Sus scrofa: one gene and its partners. The protein of the gene in region 6 binds, or shares a complex with, the protein of the main gene of each other region. Links are inferred from orthologs where the notes say so. Each region holds a gene or a part of one and is shown on either strand. Other genes may lie near its edges.

The links.
Region 1: EIF4A3 (region 6) and UPF3B share a complex: the UniProt entries of both Homo sapiens proteins name them as parts of the mRNA splicing-dependent exon junction complex. The link is inferred for Sus scrofa from reciprocal best matches to the Homo sapiens genes EIF4A3 and UPF3B.
Region 2: EIF4A3 (region 6) and MAGOH share a complex: the UniProt entries of both Homo sapiens proteins name them as parts of the ALYREF/THOC4-EJC-RNA complex. The link is inferred for Sus scrofa from reciprocal best matches to the Homo sapiens genes EIF4A3 and MAGOH.
Region 3: EIF4A3 (region 6) and ALYREF share a complex: the UniProt entries of both Homo sapiens proteins name them as parts of the ALYREF/THOC4-EJC-RNA complex. The link is inferred for Sus scrofa from reciprocal best matches to the Homo sapiens genes EIF4A3 and ALYREF.
Region 4: EIF4A3 (region 6) and MAGOHB share a complex: the UniProt entries of both Homo sapiens proteins name them as parts of the mRNA splicing-dependent exon junction complex. The link is inferred for Sus scrofa from reciprocal best matches to the Homo sapiens genes EIF4A3 and MAGOHB.
Region 5: the proteins of EIF4A3 (region 6) and CWC22 are in contact, whole or in part, in a crystal structure (PDB 4C9B), measured with the Homo sapiens proteins. The link is inferred for Sus scrofa from reciprocal best matches to the Homo sapiens genes EIF4A3 and CWC22. Residues at the interface, in NP_055555.1 of Homo sapiens: Met43, Gly44, Ile72, Ile73, Lys74, Gly75, Gln98, Cys99, Met183, Gln213, Val256, Ala257, Glu259, Trp263, Asp266, Thr267, Asp270, Leu271, Tyr272, Asp273, Thr274, Leu275, Thr276, Ile277, Thr278, Gln279, Ala300, Asn301, Phe302, Thr303; in NP_001362958.1 of Homo sapiens: Thr129, Gly130, Gly131, Ala132, Tyr133, Pro135, Pro136, Ala137, Lys138, Arg140, Lys164, Asn167, Gly168, Ile170, Asn171, Lys172, Val173, Asn174, Ser176, Asn177, Ile180, Ile181, Glu184, Ala207, Ser208, Ile210, Phe211, Tyr215, Lys330, Arg331.

The regions. Positions count from the first base shown.
Region 1 is NC_010461.5:98,184,146-98,186,640, forward strand, and holds the end of UPF3B (regulator of nonsense transcripts 3B), read right to left. Parts: intron 1,945-2,495; coding exon 1,795-1,944; 3' UTR 501-1,794; downstream 1-500. UniProt on the Homo sapiens protein: Involved in nonsense-mediated decay (NMD) of mRNAs containing premature stop codons by associating with the nuclear exon junction complex (EJC) and serving as link between the EJC core and NMD machinery.
Region 2 is NC_010448.4:158,986,771-158,990,971, forward strand, and holds the start of MAGOH (protein mago nashi homolog), read left to right. Parts: upstream 1-1,401; 5' UTR 1,402-1,898; coding exon 1,899-1,986; intron 1,987-4,201. UniProt on the Homo sapiens protein: Required for pre-mRNA splicing as component of the spliceosome. Plays a redundant role with MAGOHB as core component of the exon junction complex (EJC) and in the nonsense-mediated decay (NMD) pathway.
Region 3 is NC_010454.4:1,097,810-1,102,038, forward strand, and holds the start of ALYREF (THO complex subunit 4), read left to right. Parts: upstream 1-1,429; 5' UTR 1,430-1,552; coding exon 1,553-1,786; intron 1,787-2,214; coding exon 2,215-2,346; intron 2,347-3,814; coding exon 3,815-3,962; intron 3,963-4,229. Other genes in the region: ANAPC11 (anaphase-promoting complex subunit 11), read right to left, coding at 645-753. UniProt on the Homo sapiens protein: Functions as an mRNA export adapter; component of the transcription/export (TREX) complex which is thought to couple mRNA transcription, processing and nuclear export, and specifically associates with spliced mRNA and not with unspliced pre-mRNA.
Region 4 is NC_010447.5:61,431,613-61,434,526, reverse strand, and holds the end of MAGOHB (protein mago nashi homolog 2), read right to left. Parts: intron 2,508-2,914; coding exon 2,425-2,507; intron 1,070-2,424; coding exon 970-1,069; 3' UTR 501-969; downstream 1-500. UniProt on the Homo sapiens protein: Required for pre-mRNA splicing as component of the spliceosome. Plays a redundant role with MAGOH in the exon junction complex and in the nonsense-mediated decay (NMD) pathway.
Region 5 is NC_010457.5:85,546,838-85,550,337, reverse strand, and holds part of CWC22 (pre-mRNA-splicing factor CWC22 homolog), read left to right. Parts: intron 1-511; coding exon 512-639; intron 640-2,199; coding exon 2,200-2,301; intron 2,302-2,393; coding exon 2,394-2,620; intron 2,621-3,500. UniProt on the Homo sapiens protein: Required for pre-mRNA splicing as component of the spliceosome. As a component of the minor spliceosome, involved in the splicing of U12-type introns in pre-mRNAs. Promotes exon-junction complex (EJC) assembly.
Region 6 is NC_010454.4:2,288,679-2,292,178, reverse strand, and holds part of EIF4A3 (eukaryotic initiation factor 4A-III), read right to left. Parts: intron 3,242-3,500; coding exon 3,175-3,241; intron 1,644-3,174; coding exon 1,581-1,643; intron 510-1,580; coding exon 377-509; intron 35-376; coding exon 1-34. UniProt on the Homo sapiens protein: ATP-dependent RNA helicase. Involved in pre-mRNA splicing as component of the spliceosome. Core component of the splicing-dependent multiprotein exon junction complex (EJC) deposited at splice junctions on mRNAs.

The DNA of each region.
Region 1 (2,495 bases), on a different chromosome or scaffold from region 6:
GAGCCCTGAGTTCTCTCTTCTATATACACTCCATCCTTGACCTCATCCAGTATCATAGCTTTAAATACTACCATCTTGGTTGATGATATCCAAGTGTATCTCTGCAGCCTGGACCAAACCTAGAACTCCCACTACCTTCTCAACGTCTCTGCAGGGATGTCCAATAGATGTCTTTTTAGCCCCCCCCTGCCCCACAGCATATGGAGGTTCTCATGCTAGGGCTATATACCGTTTTATCACATGTATAACTATGGAATGACCAGCACAATAAAATACAGAACCGTACCATCTCCACAAGGCTCCATGAAGGCAGGATTTGTTTGTCTCTGTACCCCCAGCACCAAGAACCAAGCCTACCACACAGTAGGCCTTGGTTTCTGCTGACCCAGATATAATAATGTGGGAGTCTCAGAGGACATGGCAGAGACAGGCTGAGAGCGTAGTGGTGACAGCACAAGTAGTGGACCATGATTTTTTTTAAGTTTTCCTTTTTATTTAAAAAATTTATTATTTTGGTTGCACCCACAGCATGCGGAATTTCCCAGGCCGGGGATCAAACCCGCGCCACAGCAACAACTGGAACCACTGCACTGACAGTGCCAGATACTTAACCTTCTGAGCCACATGGGAACTCCTGGACCATGATTTAGTCTTCTTGGTGGGCAAAATAAAGGATAGTGCTAGTGAAGGCAGAAACAAATTATCATTTATCCCCTTTCAACATTCCCCCCAAATCAATTAAGTATCAAAAGTTTAATTTCTTGGGGTTCCCTGGTGCCTAGTGGTTAAGGACCTAGCATTATCACTGCTGTGGCTAGGGTTACTGCTGCAGCTTGAGCTGGACCCTGGCCTGGGAACTTGAACATGCTGTGGGTGTGCACCCCCCAAAGCTTAATTTCTCAAAACTAATAGCTATTTAGTAAAACTAATAAACACACTTAGCTTCATACTTGAGTGATGTTGATATTTATTGACATCAATGCAAAACAAGCTATGACTAAAAGTTGCTATTTTAACAGGAACAAATATTTGTGCAGTTTCCTTCCTGGAGAGGGTATGCACTCAGCTCATGAGACCTAAGATAAAACAAAGACTGGATTGTCAGGCAACAAATAAGGGTTAAACTTTACCTACTAATGTAAAAATTGCTAAAGGCAGAAGATGTCTTAAAAAAATTTTTTATGCTAAGCTCATGTAAGCAAACAAACAAAAAAAATAAAACGAATCCTGAAACTTTAGGATATAGGATATAGACATGACTAAATTTTTGCATAAGCGAAAATTTGTTATATCCTTCACTGTATTACAATCACATGCTTGTTGCTTCTACACTACACAAAGTCAACAGTTATCACCAACAATGACTATAACTAGACCTGAACAAGACCTCAAAGTGACTCTGCTCCACGGAAATTAAGAAAATTCAATCCAGGATGAACAAAGCCTTTTGATTTTAGAGACAGTTCTCATATCTTCTTCTCATGTCATACCTAATTAAGTCCTCTCTTGACATTTCCTGCCTGCAAATTGCAATGCATGTCCTCTCCCTCAGCTTTGTCTGACACTTTAAAATTAATTTGTAGGAACTGCATAAAAAATGAAATTGTACTTCCAATCTGAACCTGCAATCAGGTTCCTGCTTTGACGCAAAACATACTCCTCTGCAGTGGACCCCACCAGCACAGCGACCCCCTTTCTCTCTCTATTCCTTTGCCCTGAAGGCACTTCTGGATTGCTTAATACGTGCTCTTTGGCTGCCTAGACAGTCAGGACACCGAAGGCCATTGGGACTTATCACTCCTCGCCTCCTTCTTTTCTATGGCTAATACCACTTTCCTGCTTTTTGTCTATGGTTGAATCTCCAGACTTGGTGCTGTCATCAGGGGGACAGAGTCGATTTCGGCTTCGAGCTCCTGGTTGGTAAAGCTGCATTGCTGGGCGATCCTAAAGTAAAAGGAAATGTTAATGTCACAACATTGCTACCAAGTATTTACAGGGGATTTTGGGTCATTAAGTTAGGTATTGATGTATACCCAAAAGAATTCATACCAGACCACAGTACATGACAGTAAGTGTTGATGGTGAATTTGCTTCTAACTGCTGCTTCCTTTCTCCTATCTACAAAGAAATCATTTCATACAAATAAGTATTATTTTATATGCCTAGGGTAAATTTTTAATAAATCTATTGCTTAATTTTCTTAACTTGCTCAAGATGAACTAAATCAGCCTAAATAGTTTTTATTTAGAAACTACCCATTGCCTCTCTCTCCTCCCCATCAGTAAATGACCTTTTTTTTGGCCACACCCATGGCATGTAGAAGTTTCCTGGTAAACCCTCGCCACAGCAGTGACAATGCCAGATCCTTAACCACTATGCCACCAGGGAACTCCAGCAAATGACTTTAAAATGGACCACCATCTAAGAAAATTTTAGGAGTAAAAACAACAGTAATAAAGAATGCAAAGTCTTAAGTGGAGACTTCCCTGAAATTA
Region 2 (4,201 bases), on a different chromosome or scaffold from region 6:
ACCTGTATATGTATATATATATATTTAAAGACATGAAGGTTTTGATACTTTTTTACAAAAATTACAAGATAAAACAAATACCTGTACAAACCATGTGTTTTAAAATAGCATTTTGTTCTCTTCAGGCTGTTGTTGATGTGGGGTAAAGTACTGGTTTGTAAACTCCATCACATTGTACCCAGACAAAATTTTCCTTGTTTGTATCCACCCCAGCACCCCTCAAGGACCACATTTGACTGTATTTGATGTAACAGGCATGTTAGAATGTGGGGTCCCCCTAACCATTTCTGCTTTTTGTCTTGTCCTTCCAAGTTCCGTTAGCTTCTGTACTCGGTCCCCTTTGGAGTCTGGTTTCTCTTCCAGAGGCAAAGGGTGATGTGCTGCATCTCACTAGTTGACTTACATCATCTTGATGAACTAAAAACCAAATGTGGACGTTTGTAAAATAAATGCACTCTTTCTAGAGATTAAATTCATTTTTTAAAATCTGGAAGTACTGTTTCATTGTGATGCTTCAATGAGGGGGGTGTGGAGGATCAATATTATTGTTTGAATTTTAGAGATGAGGAAACGGGTGAAGGAACTGCCCAAAGTTGACACTTATGTTTTAGTGCCCCCCAAAGTACGTGTCGCACATGCAGTGCTCATGCGCATGTGGCGTTCTCTGCCTACATTTTCCTTCTCTGCCTCCTCTGGCTAATTCCTATTTGTCCTTGAGTATTCCACTTCCGAAGCCTTCTCTATTCTCCCTGACTCAGACCTGACTCATAAGATATGGTAACCATCTGTGTTTCCACAACAAATTTCGCCTACCTGTATCCCAGTATTTCCACTCTGCCTCTCACTCCCATGCCAGTGAGGCTGCTTTTACCAAGGTCACCCAGGACCTTCTTAATTATAAACCTTGCAGATATTTTCAGTCCTTATATTCCTTGACCTGGAAGCAGTATGTAACACTGTTGGCATTCCGTTCTTGAAATACTCTTATTTTGGCTTACAGGATGCTATACACCTGGTTTCCCCCCTACCGCTCTAGCTACGTCTTGTTCTCTTTTGCCTATGAATTTCATACTTCTGATCTTCTCATTTTCCAATCCAGTCTACAATATTGAAGCCAGAGTTGTTTTTCTAGAATGCTATATAGGTCATTTCACCACCACCCTTTGGATGACTGGGGAATGGGCGATTAAATAGTTAACTCCTACTCAAAGCATCTCTTCTAAAGACCAGAGAGGTAGAAAAGCAAAGGAAGAAATAAAAGCTTGAAAGAGATAAGTGCAGGCGAGTTTGTTACAGGGAAATGGCAAGCTCCACTGTGGATTCAGGGAAAGCGTCACGGAGAAAGGTTTCTTGAACTGGTCCTTAAACAGCAGGGTTCAGTTGAGCCAACGTTAGACACATGCAGCGTAGTGCGGGGCGTTCTATGAGTTTTGGGTCCTATAACCCTATTTTACTGTTGGCCCAGAGAGAGTAAAGGGCTTTGTCCCACTCACACAGACAGGTGTCCTGAAGGAAGGTGGAGGTTCAGAGGACGCAGGACTTGGAGTGTAAGCCCTTGGTCTTAAAACGCGGACTCCAGACCACGTTCGTCCTCCTACCAAGCTCTAGAACCCCTTGGACCGCAGGCCCAGAAGGACGCAGGCTTACAAACCTCAACCTCCCTCCCTCCCCGGCTGAGGGGGCGGGGCTACACCAATCCCGCCTCCGTGGGGAAGGGCTTCGTTCCGCCAGGAGGGGCGGAGCCTACTTGGCCCGCGGGTCGGGAGGGGTCGCTCTACGCCCGGAGGCGGAGTTGTCTGGCGTCACTTCCGCGCGCCGTTGTCTACGTCAGTGTCGGGCGCCTACGGCAGAGGTGCGGTTTGCTCTTAAAGTTCGGTCTCGGATACCTTTTGCGAGCCATGGAAAGTGACTTCTATCTGCGTTACTACGTGGGTCACAAGGGCAAATTCGGCCACGAATTCCTGGAGTTTGAGTTTCGACCCGACGGTGAGAAAAGCGTCCGGCCTGACGGGAGCGAGGTGTAGGCCTGGGGACGGGCGAGTGGGAGGAGTGTGCGAGGAACTGGAGGAGGAAGAGACTGATGGCTGTGAGGCGCCGATTTGGAAGGAACGATACTGTGTCTTCCCCACTGGTTCTTTTCGTGTTCAGAATCTTCTGTTTAGTGACATTTCTGACCACAATGATTCATTCAGTAAACGTTCCTTGAGCGCCTACCTTGTGCCAGGCTCTGTTCCACCATCTGGGATACAAGAGTGAACACTTCCCGTCTCATGGAACTTAGATTCCCGTGCTGGGAGATCTGTAAACAACAAACAAACAAAAAGCAACAAAAAAAGAAGATTCCAGATAGTGATGAGTGGTCAGAAAACAAAGTGATGGTATAATTGCTGGTGGACTGCATTTAGAAAGGGTGGCCATAGGCGAACTCTCTGAAGAGCAGATATATGAACTGAGTTCTGATTGACAAGAAGGAGCCAGCCTTGTGACTCTCAGGTAGAAGAGCATTCTAGGCAGAGGGAGAAACAAGTATCAAGGCCATAAGGCAGGGATGAACTAAACATGTTTCAGGTGGCCAGTGTGGCTGAAGAGTAGTGAGCTCTGGAGAGAATAGTAAGTAGCCTGATAAACAGGCAAGGGTCACACCATATAGTCTTTATAGGGTGTGGTAGAGTTGGGATTTTTGTTCTAAGTGCAGCAGGAAGCAATTTGAAAGTTTTAAGCAGAGGAGAGATGTAATATGTTCTTGAAAAAGTTTTGTAGTTATTAGGTGCAGAATGGGTAAGAATGAAAACTACTTAATAGGAGGCAGAATTGTTAAGACGGAAGGGATGTTGGTTGGGACTAGAGTGATAGTGATGGCATACTGTTGATGGCACAACCAGTAGGACTTTGCCAAGTGATAGATTTGGGGAGGCGCCAGTACAGTGAAAGAAAAGGAATCAAAGATGACAGAAAATTTATCCTAAATGGGGGCACAAAAATGAACTGACACGCCCCGGTTGTGAAGGAAATAGGTTTGTTAGCAAACAAAGACAAGACAGTGTAGTGGCTACTGGGGTAGAAAGACACAGAAAGGACCCTTGGAGCAGAAGGAAGGCACCTAACCCAGCCTGGAGGTCAGAGAAGACTTCTTGAATAAGATGACATGGGGAAGTGGAGGTTTGAGCCTTTAGTAATGTGAAGGAGTTAGGCAGAGAGTCAAGAAGGCATTTTCAGAAAGCATTAACAGCGAAGAGACCGAAACCCAAAAAGTGAATGGGGTGTTTCAGGCAGAAACCAAACACATTTGACCCTTGAACAACATGGGTTTGATTGCATGGGTCCACTTAATTTTTTTCAGTAGGAAAGACCTACATGATCCACAGTTGGTTGAGTCCAAGATGAGGAACCGTGGATACAGAGGAACTGCAGATGCAGAGGGCTGGCTCTGAGTTATACCAGTGTTCAACTACAGAGAGGCTGGGTGCCCTATGCCCAAGGTTGTTTATGGGTCAGCTGTAATTTGATTAACTCCAGCTATGTGCAAGAGGACTTTTGGAGGAGTGGCCCTGGAAGTGGGCTCAGCGTAGCAGTAACCCATGTTGAGGAATTTGGGTTTTATCAAGACGGCAGTGGGAAGTCATTGTTGGTATCAAAGTGTTAGAGTAACCTAATCAGATCTGTTAACTATCACTTTGTCCACTGTATGGAGAATGAATTGAAAGGAGAGGAACTTGAGGCAGAGAGACGGTACAGTGAGGCGTCAATTAGTGTGGCTCTTTTTAGTGTGCCTTCTGTTCTGTAGGGAAAAAATTATCTCCTTTATTTCCTTTTATCTTCTTCATATCCACCATATATACTCAGGTGAACCTGTTGGATGCACATATGACTTTTTATACCAAATATGCATAATAATATCACAGGAATAGATTATAGAGTGTTGCACAGTCACTTGTTTATATACGTAAAAAGCATTTTAACAGTTTTCAGAATGCTTTCACAACTCTTGAGCCTCAGGGGGCCCTGTCTGTAGGTAAGTTATCGGTTACTCCTGTTTTTCAGCTGAGGGCATTAATCTGCAGAGATGTGATTTGCCTGTCACAAAAGAGTCTGTTCTTTAATCACAACTGAGCTGCCTTTGGCAAGAATTATAATTCATTATCAGCTGTATTTTTTGCTGGGAGGCTATTTAATAGTGTTGATGGAAAAAAAAAAAAACTCA
Region 3 (4,229 bases), about 1.2 Mb from region 6:
AGCTGCTCAGTGGTCCCCAAGCCCCACCTCCCTCTTGGGACCACCCTTGTCCCCTTGGCAAAGCCAGAGACCCTTTCGTCTGTCCCCAAACTAAATTAACTCTTGACCTGAATATAACAACCACTTTCACTTCACCAAACACCCTGGGAAGGAACGAACACGGCAAAAGCGGCAAAAGATGTCTCCTTGCGTTGTGTTGTCTGTGGTGACAGCAGTGGCGAATGACAGAGAGAAGTGAGTGGCAAAAAGCATTACCTCCAGCACTGACTTTAAAACATTTGGACAAAAGCAAATACGGAAACATGTCATTTCCGGTTTGACCTGCTAGATGGGAGAGTGGTTTTATAACATTCCATTCTTTTGTTGGCTTGAGAATAAAGGTCTTCGAATAAAAGATCTTAACACATCTCTCAGTCCCACGTGTTTCACAGTGACTCTCACCTGGACAGGAAGCTGTGCTCTTTTTTCTCACCAAACCTTTGACAGACGTCTCGTGTACAAACATGGGCCCAAACTGACTAGCCTTTCCCCATTAACTTTCTTGGGGAAAGGAAATCAAACGCTGGGGATGCTATGCAGGTATCTCTAAGGACCTGCCAAGGCCAGCAAGCAGTCAAAACTCGAGGGCGGGCAGGGGCACTCACAGTCCGGGCAGCAGCCATTGAAGGCCATCCGGCAGATACCGCAGTTCTCGTCGTTGGCCACCCAGAGCCACGTGGCCACGCCGTTCCAGCACTTGATCTTCACCTTCATGGCGCGGGAGCCTGCGGGAGGGAAGAGACCCCCGGGGTTCCGGTGAGGCTGCTGAGCTACAGCACTTGGGAGCCAAAGAAGAGGTTCCGCCCCGAGCCCTCTAGAGGGTCGGGGAGGGCAGGAGTCGCCTCCGGCAGGGCAGCACAAACTGTCAGCGAGGCGGCTGGGGCAAGGGCCGGGTCCCCGGGAGGACCGGGCGCTCAGCGCATCTCCCAACGCCGCGCTTCTGCCCGGGCGTCCACGGAAGGGGGCGTCGGCTTCCGTTAACCACTGCAAAATCCTGCCGTGTGTACGTCTGAAAGGGACATGACTGTCGAGGTCAGGAGGAGAGCCAAACCCCTCCCTGCAAGACACCCGCGGAAACAAGCCCCCGGCCTGCGCGGCCGCTCCCCCCGCCTCCGCGGACCCGAGCGCGGGTTCGGGGCGGGGGGAGGGGCAGGACCCGGTTAGGACGTGCAAGGAGGGGCAAGGGAGGGGCGGAAGCCCGGCCCCGCCCAACGGCCGCACCCCCACTAACCAAATCACGCGCTGCCCCACCCGCCTTCCGTTGGCGGCGCCGGCGCCCGCGCGGGAAGGTATATAAACGACCGCGGCTGCGGACAGGCACTTCTCAGCGGCGCCCGCCGAAGCCCGGGGTCCAGCGCGCACGCCCCGCCCCGCCCCCCGACGCCGCCGCCGCCTCGCAGCCAATCCGCGGCCGCTCCGAGGACGCAGGCCCGGAAAAGGCCGCGCGGCGCAGGAAGTGACGCGCCGGCGTGCTGACGCGCGGGCTCCAGCCGAGGCCGATTCCGCGCCCGCCATGGCCGACAAAATGGATATGTCTCTGGACGACATCATTAAGCTGAACCGGAGCCAGCGAGGCGGCCGCGGCGGGGGCAGGGGCCGCGGCCGGGCCGGCTCCCAGGGCGGCCGCGGCGGCGGGGCGCAGGCTGCCGCGCGAGTGAGCCGAGGCGGCGGACCCATTCGGAACCGGCCGGCCATCGCCCGCGGCGCGGCGGGCGGCGGCAGGAACCGGCCGGCGCCCTACAGCAGGGTGAGTGCGGAGGCCGGCTGGCGGGCCGCGGCCGGGGGGCGGGCAGGCAGCGCGACGCGGGAGCAGCGGGCGGGCCGGGCCGGGGGGGTGGGGGCGCGGGCGCCGGCCGGGCGGACGGGGGAGGTCGCGCGCCAGCCGGGCCCCGAAGCGAGACCCCACCGGCCTTTGTTTGGGCTGGACGCCGGGCCTCGTGGCGCCGGGGGCCGAGGAGACGTTGGCGCGGCCGCCCTGGCGGCGGGAAGTTAGTTGGAGGGAACCGAGAAGTTGCGGGAAGTGCGGCCCCGCGGGCGGGAAGCGGGGGCTGCGGGCCCCTCTCGGTGCCTTCCTCCCGGGCCGCGATGGGGGAAGGTCTTGTGGCCGTGGGGGCGAGGGCGAGTCCTGGAGCGCGACTTATGGGTCTTTTTCTGTCGCGTTTTCTTTTTCTTTAGCCGAAACAGCTTCCTGACAAATGGCAACACGACCTTTTCGACAGCGGTTTTGGGGGTGGTGCCGGCGTGGAGACCGGTGGGAAACTGTTGGTGTCAAATCTGGATTTTGGCGTGTCCGACGCTGATATTCAGGTAAGAGACTGGAGCTTCTCCTCGGGAGCAGCTCACCCTGTACAGCACTGACTGTGGTGTTTGGGACGGGCCGGGACCCTGAATCCGCACCCACCTTGGGACAGTGAGCCCCTCCCAGGCCCTCGAGGGCTGGCCACCACTGCTCCCTGGAAGGGGCTGCTGGAGTGCATAGCAAAGGCCAAGCTAGAGCTGAAAGTCCAACTGCTGGTTCAGTTTGCGCTGGAAGACAGGCCCGGGTCGGGCCGGGCCGAGGCACCGCGGCTTTGGTAGCTAAGCATCCGCCGTGGGGGTGAGGAGCCTCTGCCTGCCCTTTTCTGGCAAGTGTGGCTGAACGCGTGTGGTTCTGCGTCCCTGAAAGAGCGCGGCTGTCTGCGGCTTTATTTCGTGCCCGTTTTAGTGATGCTTTGGGAGGAGAAAGCCCTTTCTCTGCAGGGCTGACAAAGTGCAGAAGCAGAGTGCTACAGGCATCTCTGGTCCCCTCTGCCTTAAGCCCCGTGGAACTGGGTCCCGGTCTTTCTCTCACCTATGCTCACGCTCTGGGTCTCGTTAGCGGCGCAAGTGTTTATTTAGTCTCGTCTTCGACTCAAGCCTCTTTTCTTTTCCGTTTCTTTTTCTCTTTTTTAAATCCACTCTCCAAGGCACTTGAACTGGTTTTCTCGTGAAGTAATGCCGTTTTGGGGGTCAGTCCTGCAGATGGCTGGGTCCGGGTGAGGGGCCTTCCTGGGTTCGGTCTCCCAGAGCCCAGCCGTTTTACTTAGCCGTGGGGGGACAGAGCAAGGCCAGTGAGCGCTCACAGTGTCTCCACACTTTTTTTAAGGTGGTTTCTGGCATCCACTGGAAACCGCTTTTGGTGAACTCCACTTCCCGCTGTGTGCCTGCGGCCGGAGTAGCCCCACACTCTGGGTTCCCTCTCCAACTCCCAGCCTGCCTGAGGTCAGGGCAGTTTCCATGGCAGCGCTTGACTTCAGACTTTGCGGCAGGCTTGAGTAGGAGGAGAGGGAAAGGTGAGCCCGAATCTGCCCGGGGGAGGGGCTGGGTCAGGGCTCCCGAGTCAGCGGGCCCTTCGAGCTGATCCACCTTGGCTTAGAGCCCCTCGCTCTGTGATCTTGGCCTTTGCAGCTTCTCGGCGCAGTCCTCGGGCGTGTCGTAGGTCTTCCTCTGTAGAAGGCGAGGGCCACTTAATCTCGCGCCCTTCCCCGCGGGCTTTGTGATGCTTTACCTGCACTGTGGTACCTGTGTCAGGTCCCCCGACTGGCAGGAGCCCTCAGGCCCAACGGCTCCTGCCTGGAAGTTGCTGTCCCCCTGCCCCATCCCATCCCCCAGTTCCCGCTACCACTGCCCTGCCCCCCCCACACGTGACGTCTGCCTCCCAGGTAGATACCCCAAAGCAGTGCACACTTCCAGGGAGTGTCCCTGGGCTGCCAGGAAGAAAAGGGCTTCGCTGACGAGTGCTCTTTCGGACTCACAGGAACTCTTTGCTGAGTTTGGAACTCTGAAGAAGGCGGCTGTGCACTATGACCGATCGGGCCGCAGTTTGGGGACCGCTGATGTGCACTTTGAGCGGAAAGCAGACGCCCTGAAAGCTATGAAGCAGTACAACGGCGTACCCCTGGACGGTGCGTACCCCTGGACGGTGCGTGGCCCTGGACGGTGCGTCGGGAGCCGCGCCCAGAAAGGCCTCGGGCGCCAGGAGTGGGGCCGCCTGTGCCTGAGGACACTTGGCCGTCGCCCCTTTTTCTCCCTCTTCCCGTTCTGCCGTCTCACGCTCCCCCGCGCACCTGGACCAGCCTCTCGTGAACCCCCTCCAGCAAGCAAGCCCCAGTCCTCCCCTCCTGCAGCTCCTTGCAGGAGACTCCCTTCTGCGAAGGCCCTTCAGAACCGCC
Region 4 (2,914 bases), on a different chromosome or scaffold from region 6:
GTTTCATATAAAACTAGTGTCACACAAAATTTATTTTTTAATGAATGTTTTAATATTCGTAACATTCAAATAGTATTATTAAATGAGTGAGACCATGTTCACTAGGAGTTGGGATATAAATACACACACACATTATGTTAAGTCTACATTTCAAGTAATTTTTACAGCTGAGAACTCATTTATTTCCCACAGACACAAAATATACATAATGCGAAATAGAGAATAAGGGCCTAATAAAAATGTGCCTAACTTGGGGTACTGACTTCACCTTTGTAACCTTGAGGAAATCACCGCTTATACCAAACCACTTAAATGTGAATAACCAGAGGGGTCTGCGACAAGCATAAAAAACCCAACACCTTCTGTAAAAAACTTCTGTAAGCACCAAAAAATTAAATTCCGTCAGGGTACGGTGGAAACAAGGAAGATCTTCAATTCCTTTAAACAGGTGGGAATCTGGCTGCACATATCTACATGAAAGAACCTTGTCATACGATACATCTATTAAAACAATTTTTATTATCTTTGAAGCAAATCAGATACAGCCTCCTGGAGGAAAAAAAAAACACTCTCCATCCAGGCTTTGACATATTTTATTAGAGCAACATTTCAATGAAAGGTGGTTTTTATTTACAGAATTTAATGCATGTGGGGCTGTCCAACCCACTTGGACCCAAGTGAAGATAACCATTAAGTCCATTTATGTATTTTTTTCTTTTTCTTTCTTTTTGGCCGCACTCACAGCATGTGCAAGTTCCTGGGCAGGCATAGAACCTGTGCCACAAGTGACAACACGGAATCCTTAACCTGTTGTGCCACAAGGGAACTCCATGTTTATGTATTTTCTTATTTTCAATTTGCATACAAAAAGTTTGCTTTGCATTCATAAAAACCCCAGTATTATAAATGACAACCCCTCCCTCACCCATCCCTTAATTAAATATAAAAAGTTTCAAAAAAACATACAATTTAGATTGGTTTAATCTTGAAATGTAATCCAATAAGACTAAAAACTAAACATTTCAGGTCCTGTACCAAGTAATAAAATACTCGAAGGCCTTCAGGATCCCTAAAATTTAAAAAGATAAAAGTTACTTTTGTGCTCCTAGAATGAAACAAAATACAAATTAATTCCTAAAACAAAAACCAAAAACCTAAAACAATTAAGACAAATTAATTTAGGAGAAGGATTTGCTGATAACTAAAATGGTTATATGCAACAATTCCAATCTTTATCTTTTTTTCTGTAAGAAAAAAATACATCAATTTCTTCACCAGTATTCACCTGATATTTAAAGTATTTATATCCTTACAAAAATTATAGTTATACATCACAAAAATGCATAAGGCAAATAAAATTATAAAGATAGAAAAACTCAATACTATATAATTTCACAGTATTGGTATTTCTCTAATTTTTCATAACTAAAAACATTCCCTGTGGCCTTTTAAACATTACTTTTTATATTATACCAAAAAAATTGACAATAACTTTTAATTAATTTAAAAATTCTCTGCTTGTTATACATTCGTATTTTTTTCAATTACAAAGTTTTCAATGATCATCTTTATGAATAATAAAGTTTTTTCATTATTTCAGAATATTTCCCCAGAACAGATAAATGCTCAGAGATGAAATTAGCTGGATGAATATGAATGAAAAATATTAACAGCTTTTAACTCATACTATCAAACTGCTTTTCAAAAAACACTATCTATTTATAATCCCAGTAGGACACAAATGCAACACCCTCAGCAACTAGGAGAAAATAGATATATGACAGTTTAAAAGTATCCGGTCAGTCTTTATGAACGTAGCCTTTTGTATCCAATAGTTAATACGCATTCATTTCTTTCTTTCCTCTAATAAATGTTTATAAAGCACCTACTGTTTGTCAGGCATGGCAGGAAATTTGGACTCATGGAGTTTATAATGAAACAGGTTAAGCAAACAAGTTATTATAGTTTAGGGTGACAGGAAAAAGACAGTATAAGAACATTTAGAGGAGAAAGAATGGAAAGAAATAATGAAGGCAGAGATGTTCAGACAATGGTATGTGGCAGAGACACAGAGCTTAGGAAGACACAAGTAGCTAGAGCCATACTTAAGCCATACTATGTTTTTTTCTATTTCTTTCAAGTATTTACCCAAGGAAGAGAATGATGTGATATGGGACTAATAAGGCTGATAAATCCAATAAGGATTTCTGTTAAATTTTGTGATACTGTGTAGAGATTAAGATTTTTTGACAATCAATAAAAAATATAATGCTGAATTCTTTGATAACAAGTCATCACTGATATAAAAATCAGGATTACACACATATAAACTGATATAGGATGGAATTAAAATAATCTATAGTTCTAAAATGAGCCTCTCTAACAAATTATGTCAATTTAGTCCAAATGCTTTAACATACTCACTTTGACTGATTAACATCAATAAGAGAACCTATTTTTGATGTGGTGAAAGAAATGTGTTCATCTCCAATCACGATTTCAAGCTCCTGAAAAAAATTAAACAGAGAAATGTAGTTAATATAAAAATCCATCCCAAAGACAGTTTACTCTTGCGATATGAGGTCCCAATTTTATCTGCAAGCTTTCCAGCGATCACAGGAAATAAGAAAAAAAAAAAACTTGACCTTTTCTATAAACTATAAAATAAAAACCTCATCAACTGCTTCAGGAGTCCCCAATACTAGGATGAATCAACAATTCACAGAAACAGACTCAGACTTTTTAAAACTTACGGTTACCAAAGGGGGACGGGTGGGGTGGGGGATGGCCTGGGGCTCTGGGATGGGCATAACACACTGAAGTACATGGAATGACTGGCCAATGGGGACCTGCTGTGTAGCACAAGGAACTCTATCCAATATTCTATGATAATCTATGTGGGAAAGAGAATGGA
Region 5 (3,500 bases), on a different chromosome or scaffold from region 6:
ACACAGAATCCATCAAACATGGAGGTTGCTTTTATTTTTTATTTACCCTAAAATATCTCTATGAGCTTTAGGTTTTCAGCCCCAATCTTAGTATTCAGAACAAGCCATCACTCTTTGTCTTTATAAAACTATGGCTTGATGATTTCAGTGGCATTTTGTCCCCAGACTCTCATACATGCACATTTTAATGAGTGAGTTTTAGGAACTAGTAATCTTAGCACTATATGTTCAAGACAGTATCCTCCCATCTATAAAAAGCACATACATTACTCAAGAAAGAGAATGAACTCTTTATTTCTACAGCATCTTAACATTTTGAAAATTAGTATAGAGAGGCAGTCTTATTTCTTTCCAAGAAATAATATACATCATCTTAAGATATTTAGAGATAATTCTGATTGAAGATGAGAACAAATTGTAATTTCACAAGAAAGGAAAGTTATAAATATTGGTCACTTTGTCTTACCTTTTAAACACCAAAATAAAAATGTTTTTAAATTTTAATTTTCAGGTTCTTGAATGTATAAAGCTGAGTGAAGAAACTACTACATCATCCAGTAGAATTTTTGTGAAAATATTTTTCCAAGAACTGTGTGAATACATGGGTCTTCCTAAACTTAATGCAAGGTTAAAGGATGAGTAAGTTTGTTATTCTTTTTATTCTTCCTGCCCTCAGAGGCTTTACCGCACTTTAGCAGAGGAAATCTACCCTTAGTGGTAAAAATACAAGTTCTCATGATAGTTTTCATCCATTCGTTGCCACTCTGAGTCTCCTGTATTATGTGGTACGACATGAAACTTGATGATAGTCTAGTTCTAGAGAAAATTCAGAATTAATACCTCTTTTAATTTAGTTAGAACTTTTGCATGCTCACTGGAGTTTTCCAGCAATGAGTGTTTTTAGTTTTAGTTTCATTTTTACCCTAATTTTGAGCCTTAGAATGCTAATTTTTTACTATCAATAAATTACTGTGAATATATACAAATGAGTATCACTCATGAAACTATTCAAATTTTACACTGAACTAGGGTTTTGTTCCAGGACTATCAAATAATATCAGCTTTCTTATTTACCATTTATCCAGATTGCCCGTCACCACTCACTTTGGCTTCTGTTCCATTCACACTCCTGAAGTCCTTTCTCATTTGTCTTAGTGACCACCTGCCAGTTCCAGGTGGCCTCATGCCTCTTGACTTCTTGGCCTCACACTGTTGACCACTTGTTCACTGTGGCTCCTCACTTTCCTTCATTGTGCCTTCCTCCCCTCAGTCTCTCTCTCTTGAGCCTCCCCCTCCATTGTTCGCTGAAAGTCTGTCCTGGCTTCTGTATGCTCTGGGCCAGTCCATCCCCTTCTCCTGGTTTCATGTACTTATTTATTGGTCCCTATCTGCTTGGTCAAGTTCACATAGTTCCTCTCCACACAAGTTCTGTAAGTTTACTCACCTCACAGAATTATCTCATAAGTTGCCTTCAAGCAGAATCTTAACAGCAGCACTCTGCCACACCAACACTGCCCAGCTTGTTAAGTAGTTCTGGCTCGTTCATGCATCCTAACAGAGCTGGGTATTCCTTCTCTTGTTCTGTCCATCAAACTCTTAATCATTCTTCTTACATTAAATTACCTTTACTATGAAGAATGGTTTTTCCTAACACTGCTGGTTAGGCCATTCAGTGTGGCACTGAAAACCACATTATATTGTCAATGTTTTTCTGCCTGTCCCCCTCCCTAACTGTAGTGATTGCATACAGTCTTCATCCTTGATTTCTCTTTTGTTGACTGCTTCCTCCCCTCCTCCAGTGCCTTGCAGAGCACTCTGTGTACATGGTATGTATATACACCAGAAGAGAGGGTTTTGGGGGGGGGTTTGGTTTTTTTCACTTTTCTGCACATATACTCAATGTATAATAAATAGACATATATATAGGTTTATATGTGTTCTATATATATATATTCTGAGTGTATAAGAGTGAATAAGAAAGTTTTTTAAAACCCTCTCTGTTATAGAATTATAGTAAATTATGGCTTGACCCTACTCATTTCATTTAGATAGCATACAACCAAATAAATGATTTTTAAATCACTTAATTGTATTTCATTTACTAATTTAATATATAGAAAATCTGAAAATGCAAGGATTAATATAAGGGTTTTACCTTTTTAACCAATCTGTTTTGTTCATTTTCTTTTTCTTTTTTAGAACTCTGCAGCCATTCTTTGAAGGATTATTACCCCGAGATAACCCAAGAAACACTCGGTTTGCCATCAACTTCTTTACTTCTATAGGTCTTGGAGGTTTAACGTAAGAATTATTTTCAGAAATTTATTCACCTTACAGAATTTCTCACAGTTGCCTTCAAGGCAGAATCTAATAGAAATTTTGTTTTTAATTAGGGATGAATTGCGTGAGCATCTCAAAAATACACCAAAGGTCATCGTGGCCCAAAAACCAGATGTTGAGCCCAATAAATCCTCCCCTTCCTCTTCCTCTTCTGGATCCTCCTCCTCCTCCTCCGATTCTGAATCCTCTGCCTCTGATTCGGACAGCAGTGACAGCAGTTCAGAGTCTTCTAGTGAGGAGAGTGATTCTTCATCCACCAGTAGTCAGAGCTCGTCCTCAGGTATCAAAGCTCATTTATAATTAACTCTGCCCTTTTCTCACAAGTATATTGCTGGTGGTGTTTACAAGGGAAGAGAATCATTTGATTGCTTATTTATTTTAGACTTCACTTGTTTAAAAGCCACAATTAATAATATAAACACTCATCTATCACTATTGCAGTCCATACTGAATTCAGTGTTTATAATGCTAAGATTATCTTTTGAAATACTCTTTATAGAAATGAAGATAGTCCACTGCAAATAATTTATTTGAATGCTGACTGAAATGCCATTTCTAACTTCTGTCATCTAGTTTAAGGATTAAGCTTTCCTGATGTTTATATTTTCAAGAAATTTTAATTTTTCACTTTTAATAGTGAAGCTTTATGTTAGTAATTGCCACATGCCACACATTCAGTGCGTACCTTACAAGTGAACAGCTGTATAAATTTTCATAAACAGAACACATCCATGTAGCTCGGACCCAGAAGTTCTTGTTCCCTTCCTAGTTGTTACCATTCCTCTCATCCACTGCCTCATGGCAGCTACTGTTCTAATTTGTAATTATATATTAGTTTTGCCTGCTTTTAACTTCAGAATTATATATTATGAACTCCTTTATGTCTAGCTTATCTTCTAACATGATGCTTGTGAGATTCATCCATGCTATTGCATTTAGTTATAGTTCATTCATTCTTGTTGTCGTAGTTTTTCACTATACGAATATCCACAGTATATTTAACATTTATCAATGGAAAATTAAATTTTTAGTGTTCCCATGAATACTCTTGTACGTGTCTTTTGGTGACCACATGTATATATGCCTTTCTGTTGGGTATGTAACATACCTAGAGATGGAATCGATGGGTTTTAGGTTGTATAGATACTGTCAGATGGTTT
Region 6 (3,500 bases):
GCACGTGTCCTCAAACTTCTGCGACGAATCATGTCTATAAAATCAGAGTTTGAAATAATGAGACCTCGGGCTCTGAGGAAAGAGCCAGCCCTTACAACCAGTGTCCGCTGCATCTCAGGGACCCCCCTCCAGCTCTTACAAGTTACTCAAATGTGTAAGGCCACCAGGCAGCCTATCAAATTGAAAATGGTCCTTTATTTTTTTGGTTTTTAGGGCCACGCCTGCAGCAAGCATATGGAGGTTCCCAGACTAGTGGTCACATCAGAGCCACAGAAACTCGAGAACCCGCATCCTCAGGGATACTAGTCAGGTTTGTTGCTGCTGAGCCACAACGGGAACTCCTGTTGAAGCACTTCTTACAGACAAAAGTGATTACCAAAGACTCGCCCAGGTGTGCCGGCGACAACGTGCTGTCCATAGTCCAGTTTCCTGATGTCCTCCCCGACGTTGGTGCCCCCAATACAGGCATGGCACTGGACGTTCATGTAGTCACCCAGAGCGAGGAGGCCCTGAATTAAAACACACATTCATGTCCAGCGTCTGTCCCGAGACCCTACAGAGTCCGAAACATGAGTCCCCAAAGTGAAGATCACTGTACATTCTAATTTAAATGATCCCTGAGTGTTATTTATGTCACTATTCCCATCATGAAATTCCTTCAAGTCTTCTCCTACTACTCTTTTCTGTGCCGGAATGAAGTCAACTTACTGGTTTCTTATTACAAAAGCCGTAAGTTTTAATTACAGAAAAATAAGAAAATATGTAAAATAATCCTATCCACCCAGAGATAACATTAACAGCTTAACAGACGTTCTTCCAAAGTGTTTATACTACACATGCAAAACAGTTAAAATTATTTTTAAGATGGATTTATTTGTCGGAAAAATTACAGTTCTAAGATTGCAAAGATCGATTAAAATTACACAGGCTACACTAAAAATGACTCTGTATGGAGTTCCCGTTGTGGCACAGTGGTTAATGAATCCGACTAGGAACCATGAGGTTGCGGGTTCGATCCTTGCCCTTGCTCAGAGGGTTAATGATCCGGCGTTGCCGTGAGCTGCGGTGTAGGTTGCAGACGCGGCTCGGATCCCGTGTTGCTGTGGCTCTGGCGTAGGCTTGGCAGCTACAGCTCTGATTCCCTAGCCTGGGAACCTCCATATGCCGTGGGAACGGCCCAAGAAATAGCAAAAAAAATGACTCTGTACAAACCAATGAACATGATATGTGATTTACGGCAAAAGTTAGGAATTAGGGGAAAAAAACCTGATAGAACAGAAAATCTGGATTAGACTGAATCAACCAGTTGGCTTGGAGAGCATGGGGGTTAGGGAGGGAGGTCAGAGATGCTGGCCTACCTACAGACTCCAGACACCCCGAACCCCACCTTAGTCAGAAACCCACATACGACTTCATAGTTGGCCTGCCTACCCTTGGATCTAGCAACTTCAGATCACACAGTGCAGTAGTAATATTCATTTTTAAAAGCCTGCAAATAAGAGGATCCACACAGTTCAAACCCATGTTGTTCAAGGGTCAACATGCTACAGATATGATACTGCCATTTTTAAGTGTCTCACCTTCTGGATCTGTACAGCTAACTCTCTCGTTGGAGCCAAGATCAAAGCTTGGGTTTCACGAACCTGGTAAAATAATTTGTCAGAAAATAGAGAATCTCAGTATTTTCAAGGCAGACTGCACTAATTCAGGCTCAGATCTATCTTGAATATTACCTCACACTAATAACATCTGATTTCAGATAATGAACCTGAATGTTACTTAAATCGCACATTCAGCAATAATGGGGGATACAGGAAAGGCCTGTTTGCAGATGAGAATTTTTACTAATTAAAAAAAACCTCAGGAGTTCCCATTGTGGCTCAGCGGACTAAGAACCTGACTATGAGTTCCTGCTGTGGCTTAGGGAAAACAAATCTGACCAGCACCCACGACGCTGGGTTAAGGATCGGCGATGCGGGCTCAGGTCTCGCATTGATGTGGCTCAGGTGTAGGCCGAGGGCTACATCTCCAATTCGGCTCCTAGCCTGGGAACCTCCATATGCCGAGGGTGCGGCCTTAAAAAAAGACCAAAAAAAAAACCCCCAAAAACAAACAATCCAACTAGTATCCATGAGGATGTGGGCTCGATCCCTGGTCTTGCGCAGTGGGTTGAGGATCAAGCATTGCTGAAAGTTGAAGTGGAGGTCAAAAATGCAGCTCTGATGAGATCACTAGCCCAGGAACTCCCACGTGTGGAGTCTCAATTTCCAGGTGGATCAATGGGTTAAGGATCCAGCGTTGTCACTGCTATGACTTTGGGTTCAAGCCCTGGCCTAGAATTTCCACATGCCGTAGGCAGAAAAAAACCAAAAATAACAAAAAATCCTCCAAGTTACCAAAGGCGAATGTCGGGGGGGGGGGGGCTGTGGATAAATTAGAAGTCTTGGATTAACATATACACACTAGTACATACAAAACAGACAACCAACAAGAACCTACTATACGATACAAAGAACGATACTTCGTACCTTATAATAAGCTATAATAGACAGGACGCTTAAAGAGAATATATATGTATGTTTAACTGAATCACTCTGCTGTACACCTGAAACTAATACATTACAAATCAACTATATTTCAATAAAAAAACTTTAAACTTCCCACTTTAAATAAAAAGGACTTGGAGTTCCCGCCGTGGTGCAGTGGTTAACGAATCCGACTAGGAACCATGAGGTTGCGAGTTCAATCCCTGCCCTTGCTCAGTGGGTTAAAGATCTCCAGCGTTGCCGTGAGCTGTGGTGTAGGTCGCAGACTTGGCTCAGATCGTGCCTTACTGTGGCTCTGGCATAGGCTGGCAGCTACAGCTCCGATTAGACCCCTAGCCCGGGAACCTCCATATGCCGCGGGAGTGGCCCAAGAAACAGCAAAAAAAAAAAAAAAAAAAAAAAAAAGACTTTCTGACAAGATATTAGCTCAGATATTAATAATTAAGATTCTCTTAAAAAAATTTTGAGCCGCCGCGGCAGCGGCCCAAGAAATGGCAAAAAAAAAAAAAAAAAAAAAAAAAAAATTTGAGCCAATACAACTAGAGATATTTAAGAATTGTACTTCTTAAATCACAGCGGATAAAGGAAGTATTTCCCCAAGATTAAAGAGAAGTTTGAGGCAGATTACCTGAATATCCAAACACTGCAGGACAGAAATACTGAAGGTAGCTGTTTTGCCTGTACCAGACTGAGATCTAGGAGAGAAAACACAGAAAAATGGGATTTAGAATGATGGGCCACATGCCACTGCTCCCATCATGTGACCTCTGTCCAGCAGTGCTCCGGGGAAGCATGTGGGGAGCGTCTTACAAGTAGACCCCACTCCCCCACCGCACCCCCGGCCAACATCTTCACCTCAAGGGGGTGGGACTCAGGCACGTGTCCCAACTTTCAAATCACAGGTGATGGGGATAATAAACAGGAAGTGATGAAGCTGCAGAATCTGTAACTTCA